Linked DNA regions of Nothobranchius furzeri. The protein of the gene in region 2 interacts with the protein of the main gene of each other region in a biochemical or structural test. Links are inferred from orthologs where the notes say so. Each region holds a gene or a part of one and is shown on either strand. Other genes may lie near its edges.

What was found.
Region 1: the proteins of rab11a (region 2) and rab11fip1a form a complex in vitro, tested with the Homo sapiens proteins (2 studies listed by BioGRID, with this or other methods). The link is inferred for Nothobranchius furzeri from reciprocal best matches to the Homo sapiens genes RAB11A and RAB11FIP1.

Annotation. Positions count from the first base shown.
Region 1 is NC_091757.1:39,987,430-39,993,753, reverse strand, and holds the start of rab11fip1a (rab11 family-interacting protein 1), read right to left. Parts: upstream 3,764-6,324; 5' UTR 3,389-3,763; coding exon 3,039-3,388; intron 1-3,038. Other genes in the region: adgra2 (adhesion G protein-coupled receptor A2), read right to left, coding at 5,786-6,324. UniProt on the Homo sapiens protein: A Rab11 effector protein involved in the endosomal recycling process. Also involved in controlling membrane trafficking along the phagocytic pathway and in phagocytosis. Interaction with RAB14 may function in the process of neurite formation.
Region 2 is NC_091749.1:66,767,182-66,773,271, reverse strand, and holds the start of rab11a (ras-related protein Rab-11A), read left to right. Parts: upstream 1-2,485; 5' UTR 2,486-2,610; coding exon 2,611-2,650; intron 2,651-6,090. Other genes in the region: SH2 domain-containing protein 7, read left to right, coding at 657-1,328. UniProt on the Homo sapiens protein: The small GTPases Rab are key regulators of intracellular membrane trafficking, from the formation of transport vesicles to their fusion with membranes.

The DNA.
Region 1 (6,324 bases), on a different chromosome or scaffold from region 2:
AATGGTAGTCTAACACTATTAGTTAGTTCTAGTTGGTGCTCAGTTTCCTATTACACAGAGCTCTGCGAGGCAGGGGGCATGCTTAGCAAAAAACAACATAAAATTATGTAATGCTTACATTATATCACAGCACTTGATAAGACTATCAATTTTACGTATTTCTGAAAAATCATAATTTCTGAAAGGGGAAAACTCCGGGGAAAAACTAGTTGAGTTGCTAAACTGATGCTAAATGTGGGCTTCTTCTAAGAACAGTTAAAATAGCTAAAAAATACAAGTACAATTATTATTTCAATATAATCTCATTCAAACAAATTTGAAGGTATTAAATTTGTAGTCCTACTGAACCTGGCTTGTCAAACAGTGTAGTTTATTTAAAAAACAGTCTTTTCATTAATCACATTCAAAGCACAGTGTGTAAAAACATTCTAATCTCTAGCAGCCCAGAGTAGATATAGCATCTAAAATAGCTCACAGGCATTAAAAATGCAACGTTTTATTGTGGTGATGCATGCATGGCTGCGGGGGAGAGGAGACACTGTAGCTCAGACAGCTACATCGGGGGTCACACACAGAAACCACCACACACCAGCTTTCAATAGTCTGCAAGTTATTTTACATTTTCTGCTGTTCTGATGATCTCTCTCTCTCAGGGAATCAAGAACCCCTTGTCCGTGTCTTGTGAATATATGTAAAACGGGTCTCTTCCGCCATTTTCAGCAGCTGTCTTCTTGCTCTGCGTCTTCTGGGTCACTTATCTCCCTCTCCTCTGCAGCCGTGCGTGCACCACCAGAGAAGTTAAAAACTTCCAGATTTCGTTCCAGCAATCTCACTTAGTTAGAGCAGGGCAAGCAACCAAAGAGCAAGAAGCAGAATGTCTCCAAACCAACAACACTGTCATGGAGAGATCCAGCACAATCTCCGCACAATGCTTAGAGAGTAAGAAGAATTTTTATGCCAAAGCACAAATGCGAAATGTCGAGCATTATATCTTGTATGTCCCTAAACAGCTACGGTACTCCAGGATGGAGCATGACTATGGAGTATTGATCACAATTTATGTAAATAAAAATGTAAAATTTCAATCTAATAGGAATATTTGAAATATATGTTGGTGAGAATTTTTTGTTAAAAAAGAGCATGTTTGTGAAAGGAATACACAGAATTTGATAGTAAACAAGTACAAATATCACACACGGTGCCTTTGAATATTATCTCCCTAAACCTCTTTAATATTTGGATGGATTCATTTAGGACAAAAGGACATCAATCAGAAGCAAACTATACCATATCAGTTTGAGATTGTGATTTACAGTTATTGTGGGTTTTGAATATTAAATTAAATTCCTTATAAACGTAAATGTCAGCATTGTTATTAGGAATAGTAATCACATAATCTTAGGTAAGTTTGTGCTTAAAAGTTTTACGATAATTTAAAAAAGGGAAATAATTTAAGTAAAAATCTCAAAAACAAGGTGAAATACGAATATACCTACATGATTTAATTTCCCATTACAAATAAAAGAACTCCTCGTCTCATTCTTCTCTGTTTCTATGAAAGACAAAGGCCTTAAGGCTAAAATTTCATCTTTTACAGTTGAGAGAACATTAAGGATCCCTGCCAGCAGGAAAACAAGGTCTTGAATGTCGCACCCTGTGTCAGCAGAGTAGAGAATCGGGGCAGTAATCGAACACCACACACTCACGGCCAAAGCACCAACATCCAAACCCAGAGAACATCCTGGATCTCACAGGAGACAGAGGGATAAACACAGGCAAGGACAAAAGGAGCTGGACTTTGCTATAAAGCAATAAAGGCACACTGAGCAAACAAAAGATAAAATGTCAGATAAGACTCAAACATAACCAAGTAAATGAGGTAATTGCAGAACTATGGCAGGTTCTAGCTGGGTGATTAGAGAGCCAACACAATCTCTAGCTCACTCTTTTTCCGAAGGTTGCTGTAAAAAAAAAAACTACTTAAGGGACATTTTCTCAGGGCAACACCAAGACTATTCCATCTATTTTAGGCTGGGTATATTTTTCTCTCACAGAAGAAGGTGTGTAGATCCCCATTTAGCGCTAAAAGCTTTGTTTTGATTGCTGTTTTACACCCTACGTCAAAACAACATATGTCACCCTGATGTGTGTCATGCTAATCTGGGTTTGAGTAATGCACTCCAAGCCACCTAACAAACCAGAGGAATGTGTGGGATTGTCAGCAGTTTCCAGAGTAGGCCTCCGTCATCGCGTCAGTGATAATGTTGGCTTCAAACCATATTCTGAAGGAAAAGTCTAAGATGAACGTTAGGGTTGGGGCAGTGAGGACAGAAAAAACAGATGACGTTTTTGTTTTATCTCCCAACCACAAACTAACAAGAGGAAGGAGGCTTGAGCCAAAACTTCTAACCTGTTTTTACTTTATTTAATTTAGGAAATTCATCTCAGAAATGAACATCTCAGGGGCTAAAACAACTCTAAATAAAATCTCGGCAGCTACCTTGATTTAGTCCCATTGATTTCAGTAAAAGTTAAGACTGATCTATGCTTGTTTCAACAAAGATTTTTAGCATTTGTCAGGTTTTTATCCAGTTTATCATCTTTTCATTGCAGGTATCATGTTTCATGTAATAATTTTCAGCACAGTAACTAATTAAACCCACTTCTGTATTAATATGTTATTATGGTAATGTGCTAGTTGTCTAAAAACTTAATGCAGCTGTTGGATTTTACAGTAAAACACACCAGGATCACATTTGGATAGAGTTATTTTAGGAGACCTCCTGCTTAAAGCTCAGTTTATGCGTGACCCCTCATTGGGGAGATAGATGTAAATGAAAAAAAGAGAGATAAAACAACCAGGAAGTTCATGTTTGTTTAGAAGTCCCACTGTTTTCCAATACTGTAAATACCCTAAATAATAACATCTATATGCTACTGAGCGTTGTCTGCTGACTAAAATCGCTAAGATAAAAGTATCTAGTTATTTGAACTGGATACATGTGAATTTTGACTCAAGAGTAACTTAGGAGACTTACTCTGTTTTGTTGCGGGACTTGTTGTCATAAAGGTCCAGCAGGTTGATGACAGCCTGGCCCAGGAATTTGTCCAGACCCACCTGAGCCCGGTGCATCACGATGATGTACAGCGTACAGCGGTCAGTGTTTTCCGGGTGGAAGAGCGGCAGGTCGAACGAAGCCTCTTCCTTCCACACCGGAGCCACACATTTCTCTGCCACCGAGGTGGAGAACTTATCCTTGGCCACCTGGATGATGGCATAGGCGTCGTTGGTGCCATTCTTGCCCTTGACCCGCAGGTTCCGAGCCTGACGCACCGTTACCCGGACACTCGTAGGGAACAACTGCTGGCTCTGACCGAGCAGAGACATCGTCAAAAGTCCGTGAACGTGAACCAAACAATGTTATCCCAGCCACTAATGTTTATCAACCCTTCCCTGAGGTAGGTTCGTCACCTTCGGTGTCCTGATAGGCTGCTGGCCTCTGGTTACTCAGCGTTCAGCTTCAGTTCAGGAAGCTAAATTTAACGTCGCAATAGTTCACCGTTCGGAGGCCCCTAATAACATCGGTTTGATAAAAAGTCTGTTAACAACCTTATCGCTAATATTAGCCTGAGTGAGACAAACAAAACATGACCAAACCGTCACAAGTTTAGCTTTCATAAACACAACTTCGTCTACTCCCCCACCAAGTTTCACAGTTCACTTCCCTGAGGTTACGGGGGTTCCCACCCATACTCTGTATTGACCTCGCTGATTGGTTGATGGTTTTGTCAGTTTCTCAAAGTCGAGCTGTGATTGGTCGCTTAATAGGAGGGCGTACGAAATTGCGCACCGTTAATTTGTTTTATTAAATACTTATCTGGAATCAGTATAAAGTCGTGAAAGTAACAAAGTACACACTAATAAGATATTTATATTTATAATTTCTTATTTCTTAGCTGGATATGTTCCAATTCCAACATGACGTTATGGAAAATTACAAAAGTGCGAAATGATCCAGAATAAAATTAAATCCCATCACATTTCTCAGAGTTTGGTTGGACTGGTTGTGTACTCTCAGTACACAGAAGACAGAAGACAGAATGATCCAATGTGTCAAGCAGTTTAACACAATAATTTTGAATGAAACCGGCCTTTTATCTATAAGGAATAAGAAATTCATCTAATCATGGTTTCTAAAAAAAGACCCAGATAAAATTAAACATTTTGGACAAACTGTATTAGTTATTCTGAATCATGGACAAAACAAGTCTGTCAGAGCCTAAAATAGGTTTCCATTAGAAAATGAGTCACAGTAACTTCCTGGTTGGGAATGGCAGTGAAACAGACTGAACATGTTTAAACACACAACATTACCAGATTGCAGTAAAGAACAATAGGGGAAAACTAAGACAGCGTGTTGTTGGTGTAAATGTTATTTCCTTTTTGAGTAATTTCCTAAATTGCTGGTGTATCAGACAGTTTAAAAGCAGAAGTACATCATTGGTCTATGCAAGTTACCACAGACAAAGTTTTCTGGTAAAACAACAGATGCGTGGCCTTTTTATCATTAATAATAATAATGCATTGAACTTATATAGTGCTTTTCAAGACCCCCAAAGACGCTTTCACACACTGCTAGTGATGGTAGGCTGCTTGTAGCCACAGCCGCCCTGGGGAGGTCTGACAGAGGCGAGGCTGCCATTTGGCGACGTCGGCCCCTCTGACCACCTCTAGCACAGGCAAGTTGGGTGAAGTTTCTTGCCCAAGGACACAACAGCAGGATACCCCTGGCGGGAGCTGGAATTGAACCCATGACCCTCCGATCATGAGGCAACCCGCTCTACCACCTGAGCTACTGCTGCCCCATAATAATTAATTTGTTGATATTTTTGGAGAAGTTTTAACACCACTGCCATGACACAAAAATTATTGGGATTCATTTGAAGCAATTTGTAATCCCTAAATTTTACTGAAGGTGTTCCTGTTGTCCATAGGAGACAGTCAGTTTTCTGGTGGTAGTCAAAGTGTCATGCCTCTTTCTTTTTCTCCCTTTGGCTTAATGGAGGTTGGATCAGAAAAAAGGGAAAGCTCTGAAAGTTCAAAAGTCTTAGCAATTTTAATTCACTCTGGGATTCTGTACAGCCACACTCGTGAGTTTTCTCTTATTACACACACACACACACACACACACACACACACACACACACACACACACACACACACACACACACACACACACACACGCACACACACACACACACACACACACACACACACACACACACACACACACACACACACACACACACACACACACACACAAAGGCACAGCAACATAAATGCACATATATTAGCATAGATAAACAATCACTTAGAGCAAACTCACAGATGAACGTTTGCCCTCAGATTAAATGCATATAGCTGTACTTGGTGAATGGATTACACTGTAATCCATTTTATGCTAGAGTTGATTTGCATAGGAGAAATTACAACTAAAACAGTAAAGCTTTCATTAAACAACCAAATGCAACAATGCATGCCAACTTCAAAAAATGTTTGGTACATTTTTTTTTGTAAAGCGATTAAAATAAAAGTGAATCTATGATTGAAAACAACAATATTGTTTCACAGCAAACAAACAACACTACAGAGGCAAAAGTACCAGTTTAGGGTCCTGGATGCCTCCATGGTATGATAATATCTTAAATTATATAATTATTAGGACACCATTAGAACACAACCAAGTCTTTTTCTTCAGGTAATGCATTGATGTTCTACTGTGCTTCACACTGTGGTTTCACTTTTCCACAAGCCGCTCTTCATCCCAACAGAGCACTGGGACTGGTCTGTGCTGCTCACGTCCTGCTCAAGCTCTAACACAGAGGTTTTCAGGGTGCCGTTTGGGGCAGCGGCCCCCGGCACAGCGGTGGTGACACTGTTCAAAGGGTAGGAGCAGCGCTTGGTTTCTCGCTCTGCAGATGCTCTTAAATTGTCTCTGCTGGAGCATCGTCTCTGAGCATCATGCATTGCCACTCTGCTGGCAGCAGAAGGCAGCAGAGGGAAGGGTTTGCGGCTCCCGCTGCTGCCCCCATCACTTCCCTCGGAGGGGCTAGTGGCTACCGATTCCCCCACCCGCTTCCCATTTGTCAGCAGGCTGGCCTGGTTCTCTGAGAGGCTGTGGTGAATGCTGCCATTCTCACTCGTGGCCTGCTTGTAAACAGCATGTGATGAGTAGAGGTGCTCCAAACCTGTAGGCCCTAAAGTTCCTAGACTACCGCCACCTCCAGCAGTTCTTAGAGCTTTGAGGCGATAGTGGCCTCTGC
Region 2 (6,090 bases):
CTATTGGAGCTTGCCCAAGCCCCGCATATAGCGAGTTGCAATAATCCAGCCTGCAGGTAACAAAGGCATGGATTACAGTTTCCAAATGGCTACGTGACAGAAATGGCTTAATCTTCATTATCTGCCAGAGATGAAAATAGCGAGATCTCACGATTCCATTTACTTGAGAATCAAATCTGAGCTCTGCGTCCATGTTTCCCATCATTCATTATTAGACATGTTATTAAAACACTTTGGATTTAAACATATTGTCCATTCAACAAAATATGATTATGAAAACTTGTAAACTTATGTAGTCATTGGAGCCAGGGAAGATAAACTTCATTCAACTCTTGTCGTGATTGGCGCTATATAAATAAACTTGAATTGAATTCAAAGAGGATAGATAAGAAGTCCTGCATCCTCTGCAGCCATGAGGACTCGTGACGTACATAGACTTCATGTCGGCACCACGGTGTCAGATAGACCTGTATGAAGAAGTTTGGTCTGTAAGTTAAAAGTTCATTTCTGGTCATTTAGATGAAATATTTGGCCATTTGGTACGCTGCAAAGAGCAAACATGAAAACGGCTCACTTTACCTAAACATCAGATACCTTTTAAAAATCTTCTATACCTGTGTTTCTGACCTGACCCTAATCCCCACGTTGTGTTCCAGGTTCTGCCTCCAGTACCAAAGAGGGGAATGCCTCCAGCCTTCAGCCTGAGTGGATCTCTGCCTGAAACGACACCACATCCTAGTGAAACCCAGTTTGAGTCCAACAAAGCTCAGAGACTCAGAACCAACCCAACTCAAAAGATCAATGGGGATTTGTTTAGACCTTTAGAATTGGAATGTCCCGATCTGACCCAGGTGGAGACCAGGAGCCAGTCTCTGCCTTACCTGGGCACCAAAGTGGAGGAGGAGGAGGCATACTCCAACCAGTTAAGCAGCCTCTCCCTTCAAGCACCTTCTTCTCCAAAAAGGGTCACCTGTCAAACCTACTCCCTCCACGCCCCCGAAGGAGATCTGAGAAGTTTCATGTCAGAGCAGCAGATCAGAAACCAGGACCAGCTGAGGTCTAACCCTCTGTACGAGCCCTCCAGGGTACCTGGAGAAAGTGCAGCTCAGCGGCGGGGTGTCATGTACGCTGAGGTTTCTAAGGGTTCAGCACCAACTACGCAGACAGAAGACACCTATGAGCTGGTCCCTGGAGAGGCCACTGAAGTCCAAAGCAACACCTACGAGTCTCTGGAGGACATGAAGACTAAGAAACCCAAAAGCACCTGGGGCAAAAATGTAAGATGCAACGTCATGTGCTGGTTTTTATTACAGAGAGTAAATAAATAATCTGACGTTTTTTTTTAAATAATTTTGTCTCTACAGAACATAAAATGGAGGAACTTCTTAAAGAAATAAATATATCTTGTGGAGTTTCTCAAGTTCGGGGCTTCCTCCTGACGTCAGGAGACTTCATTCAGAATCTCTAAGAGATGAAAATAAAAACAGGCCTCCTGGAGTGAGATTCATACCTGCATGATCAATTATGGGGTGAAAAGAGGGGGATACTGACCACCACAAATTACAGCAGGCCCAGAAAATCCTCCCTGTTATCTTATAGCAGGGGTGGTCCCGATAGCCAGCATGATTTAGTTGTTTCCCTGCTTCAACACACCTGGTTGTAATCAGCAGGTGATTAACAGGCTTTTACGGAGCCTGAGGAGCTTCTGAACAGGTGATTCAACCACTGAATTATGTAGAGTATAGAGGAACAACGAAAACATGGATACCGCCCTTTGGAGACCAGGATTGAGAACCAATGTCTTAGAAGATTAAACTCTTGTGGATCAAATGACATTATCCTACATGTTCACATGTATAGGCTATGCTGGGCTACTATAGTGAGCTTAATATCTGTATTGTTTATTTTGGGACTGAAGGACATGGGACACTAGCCCCAGAAGCCCTTCAACCCCTCCATCCTAGAAGTGTTGAGATTTAGTTATGCAAAATGGTAAATGGCCTGTGGCGCCTTCTAGGATTCTAAAACCCCCCAAGGCACTTTACAACGAACCAGCCATTCACCCATGCACACACACATTCACATGCTGGTGATGGTGAGCTACAATGTAGCCACAGCTGCCCTGCTACAGCGAGATGTGCAGGTCACTTTAACTAACTGAAGAGATAAACACTCAGGTTAGCATCATTTTTATACTTTATTCATAGCCTAATTATACTGTTATTAATGAATGTATTGATGCCTAAAAATAAATAACTTTTAAGTTTGAAATCACTTTATTTATTTGACACTTGGTGAGCATACAGTATTCTACATTTAATGAAAAAATAATGTATTTATGAGTTTTAAGGCCTCCAAATTAATGTCTTCCTCAATATGCGCGTTCCCGTAACAATGCATGCAAATGTCTCGGCTGGCATTTTCGGTACACACACCTCCAGGTTGCGCTCCGTCCTGTGGCCGCTGGGGGGCAGAGTATCCGCTGCATTCCGCTGTCAGGATTCCAGCGAAGAAGAAACTATCTCCCATCTAATTCCCGTCGGACAGTAAAATCTCGTCTTTTCTGTTTTAACAAAATCATTTTTGGACCCGCTCTCCAGTGTTGGGACGATGGGCACCAGAGATGATGAATACGACTATTTATTCAAAGGTAAAGCGGTGTTTGTTGTTATTTGGCAGGCTAGGCGGTGGAGCTAACGGAACCGCCGTCAGCCTTTTGTGTTCGGGTCTCAACAAACTTCTCTGACGTGAGTCAGCGCGTTGAATCGGTTTTCCGAACTCCCGACGAACCATGTCTGACTCGTTCGGGTAGGAAATTGTTCATCCGGTGCTTGTTGTTCGTGCTAAAGCGCATCTTGGTTCGGGATAGCGGTTAGCTCGGGTTAGCCTGCCGACAGCCAGCGGGACACACCTAGACCTAACATGATCAGATCCTCCTGATGCGATCCGGACCGATCTGCCAGCAGCACCGTTAACGGGCCCGAGACGACGTTTAACAGCAAATTCAGAGCCCGAGGCAGAACCGGGCTGGTCCAGCTGAGGTGAAACTGGACGAAAAACTCTTAACTGCTTTATTGATCAGGTTATTAATATCAGATTATTGATCAGGTTGTTCATCTGTGGGTTATTTATATTCCACTCTCACGTGAGCTTCCGGTTTCGTATTCTCACATTTCTTCCACTAACCTCCTGTTTTCCCGAGAGTTTTAACTTCATTTATCAGTTTATAAAAACACCAAATCCTGAAAGGAGCAGAATCACCAAAGAGAACATAAAATAATCAAGTATCATTAAAATAACTCCTGAATAAGAAGTAAAACGGTTGTATTTGTCTTTTTCAACCCCCCCCCCAAGCGATTTATTTTAGTGCATCTTAGTTAAAATTGAAATATTCTGCTTAAAACTGTCAATGTTGTCAGGTAAAAACTCTGCACTGCATTCAAATTTAAATCTGCCATCGCTATTGGCTGAGAAGTACACTATGATGTCAGCTGGTACATTATGAGATCACAATGTTGTTGGCCTTGTTCGAGTTGAGCAGCGCCTCGCTTGGAAAACAGATGAAAGCAGACGGATGCAGCAGGGGGAGTGGCTGAAAGCCGGCGTTTAATGCCTGATTCATGCTCCTCCATCTGCGTCAGTGCTGAGACACGCAACGTCAGAGAGCTCCGCGAGGACGGACGGAGTCGAGCTCTCTTTTCTAAACATCCGTCAGTCGAGACGGAGAACGCAAGCTTGTGATTGGTCAGGACGCCGCTGTTGTCTACAGCGCCGCCATTGCGCCCTCAAAAACATAAAGAGAGCCGAGGATAACTAGTGGCAGACACGGAGCAGCTTGAAGAATACCTCGCGAAAAAACTCTAAAATATGAATGTTTAATTCCCCAGTGACAGGAGGAGTGAAAAGATGCGCAGCAAGCGTTTTATTAGTGGATGGAAATGACAGGAAACGTGGGTTTAGAGGTGGCGAGCGCATGAAGAGGTGGAGGAGAATGAGAGACAAATTTGTCTGTTAAAAAGTCTCTTATATACAAAAAAACATAATATAAACACACCATCTTGGACCGGATGCATGACAGGATACCACAGAACAGCCTACGTCCTCTGTTGTCCTGCTGGGGAATTGCTTTGCAACACTCTCCAGGAGACGGAGAAGTATGAGAGCAAAACGCTTCCGTCAATCCGTGCGTGTCTGTCCTTTGCGGAGCTGACGGAGAAGCATGAACCAGGCTTAAGATGATCAAATTTCCCTACATGTAGCTCGCAGGTGATGATGGATAAAGATATCACATTCATTCATACTTGTTTAATTTGTAATTAAAGTTCTGGTGCTTGTTAGCAACTGAAACACATCCTGACAATATCATGTAATGTTGACATGTGCATATGAAGTAATAATAAGTAAAGGTTAGCAGCTGTAGAGTTTTAGTGTGCTCATAGGAAATGTGACAATAAAAACACAAATCACATTTCTCTTTATGGCCTATATAGTTGTCATCTTAGATCAGGTGAGAGCGAGGCGTTTCCTGTCACGCCCTAGGTTTTGCAACCGGCGGAGAGCAACTGCAGCGCCTTGCTCCAAAATCTGCGGCCGCCTTGATCTCACGAGGTTATCGTTGCCTACGTAGGCATGACATCAGAGCAAGTCGGCGTCAAGTCAGACACAAATCTAACCAGCATGCACTGCGCGCCGATCACCGGTGATCGAATCTGCGCAGAACTGGATCATCTTGAACACGGCCAATGTGAGCCTGTGTGTGTGTGTGTTAGCGGCTCTGCCCTTTCGGTCTGCCAGGCAGCAGCATTTTTTAAACAGGAAATGGGAGTGGAGTGAGACTCTGGTAGGGGTGACTTGCTCTTTAACATGGCACCTGTCAGTGGACGGGGCCAAGGGGGTGGGACTCCTAACATCCTGATAAAACGATCCCGCTCCTATGTATTTTAGACCAGATTTTTATGGTTATATGTTACAAAGCAACAACTGGGAATTATTTCATTCATTTTCAACAACATTTTGATGGATATTTCCTGAAATTTATGGTAAAAACTTCAAATTGTCTCTTTAAAAAATATTGAGTAAAAAACGCCCAGAGACAAATAAAAAAATATAAATAAATTACGGGTGCACCAATTGCAGTTTTTGGCTGATCACTGTTCACCAATCTTGAAAAAAATAAAAACAGACTTGCTGATACTGATTTTTGTCTCAACTAAAAGCAGATTATGTCAATGTTTCAATTTCCTTTTATTGTGAAAACCAACATGAATACTCATGAAACAATACCATTTTCAACTGGACATGAGGTAATGCTCTCAAGTAGGGATGCAATGATACCACTTTTTTCCAAAACGATACGATGTCGATACTTGGATCTGAGTACTCCCCGATCCCGATTACCAATACCGATACTTCTACCAAACAAAAAAAATGCGATGATTTGGAATACAGATTTGATTTTCAACAGGAAAAGTTTGTGAAGTAGATAAAAAGTAAAATATATGAATGGAAATCATCACAAAACTAAAATATTAGGTGAACAGAAATGACAAGTTACAGGGAAGCCATTTTCAAGCAACTGCATTGGTATCAGTTCCTGGTATCGGCTAACTTTTACCAATACTGGTATCGGTATTGGTACCAGTATCGTATCGGTGCATCCCTACTTTCAAGCATAAATGAACGTCTTTAGCATTGCTGTTTGAACAACAAAATCATATTTGTTCCTTTAGACTTTCATTTTTCAAAATTTGAAAACAAAACTTTTGTACCCGTTTTCACACGCATGTTCAAAAATTATTCTATAGCAATGATTGGCTTGAAAAGAACCCGAGATTGGGGCCGATAGATTGGTGCACCCCTAAAATAAATGGCTATAATAGAAACTTTTGTACCAGAGCCAGAAAGGTCTAGAACCGCTCCCGGGTTCTGGATGCTTGATGTTGTTCTAAAGGTTCTTTAAGGATAGTGGGTCAGGGAGCACCAATAATCCTGCATCATAAATAAAATAGACATCCATTAGTTTCTCCTCATTCTTGTTACTTGGACTTTAAACTGTTTTTATCTTTATTTCTGCGGTTTTCTAGATTCAGG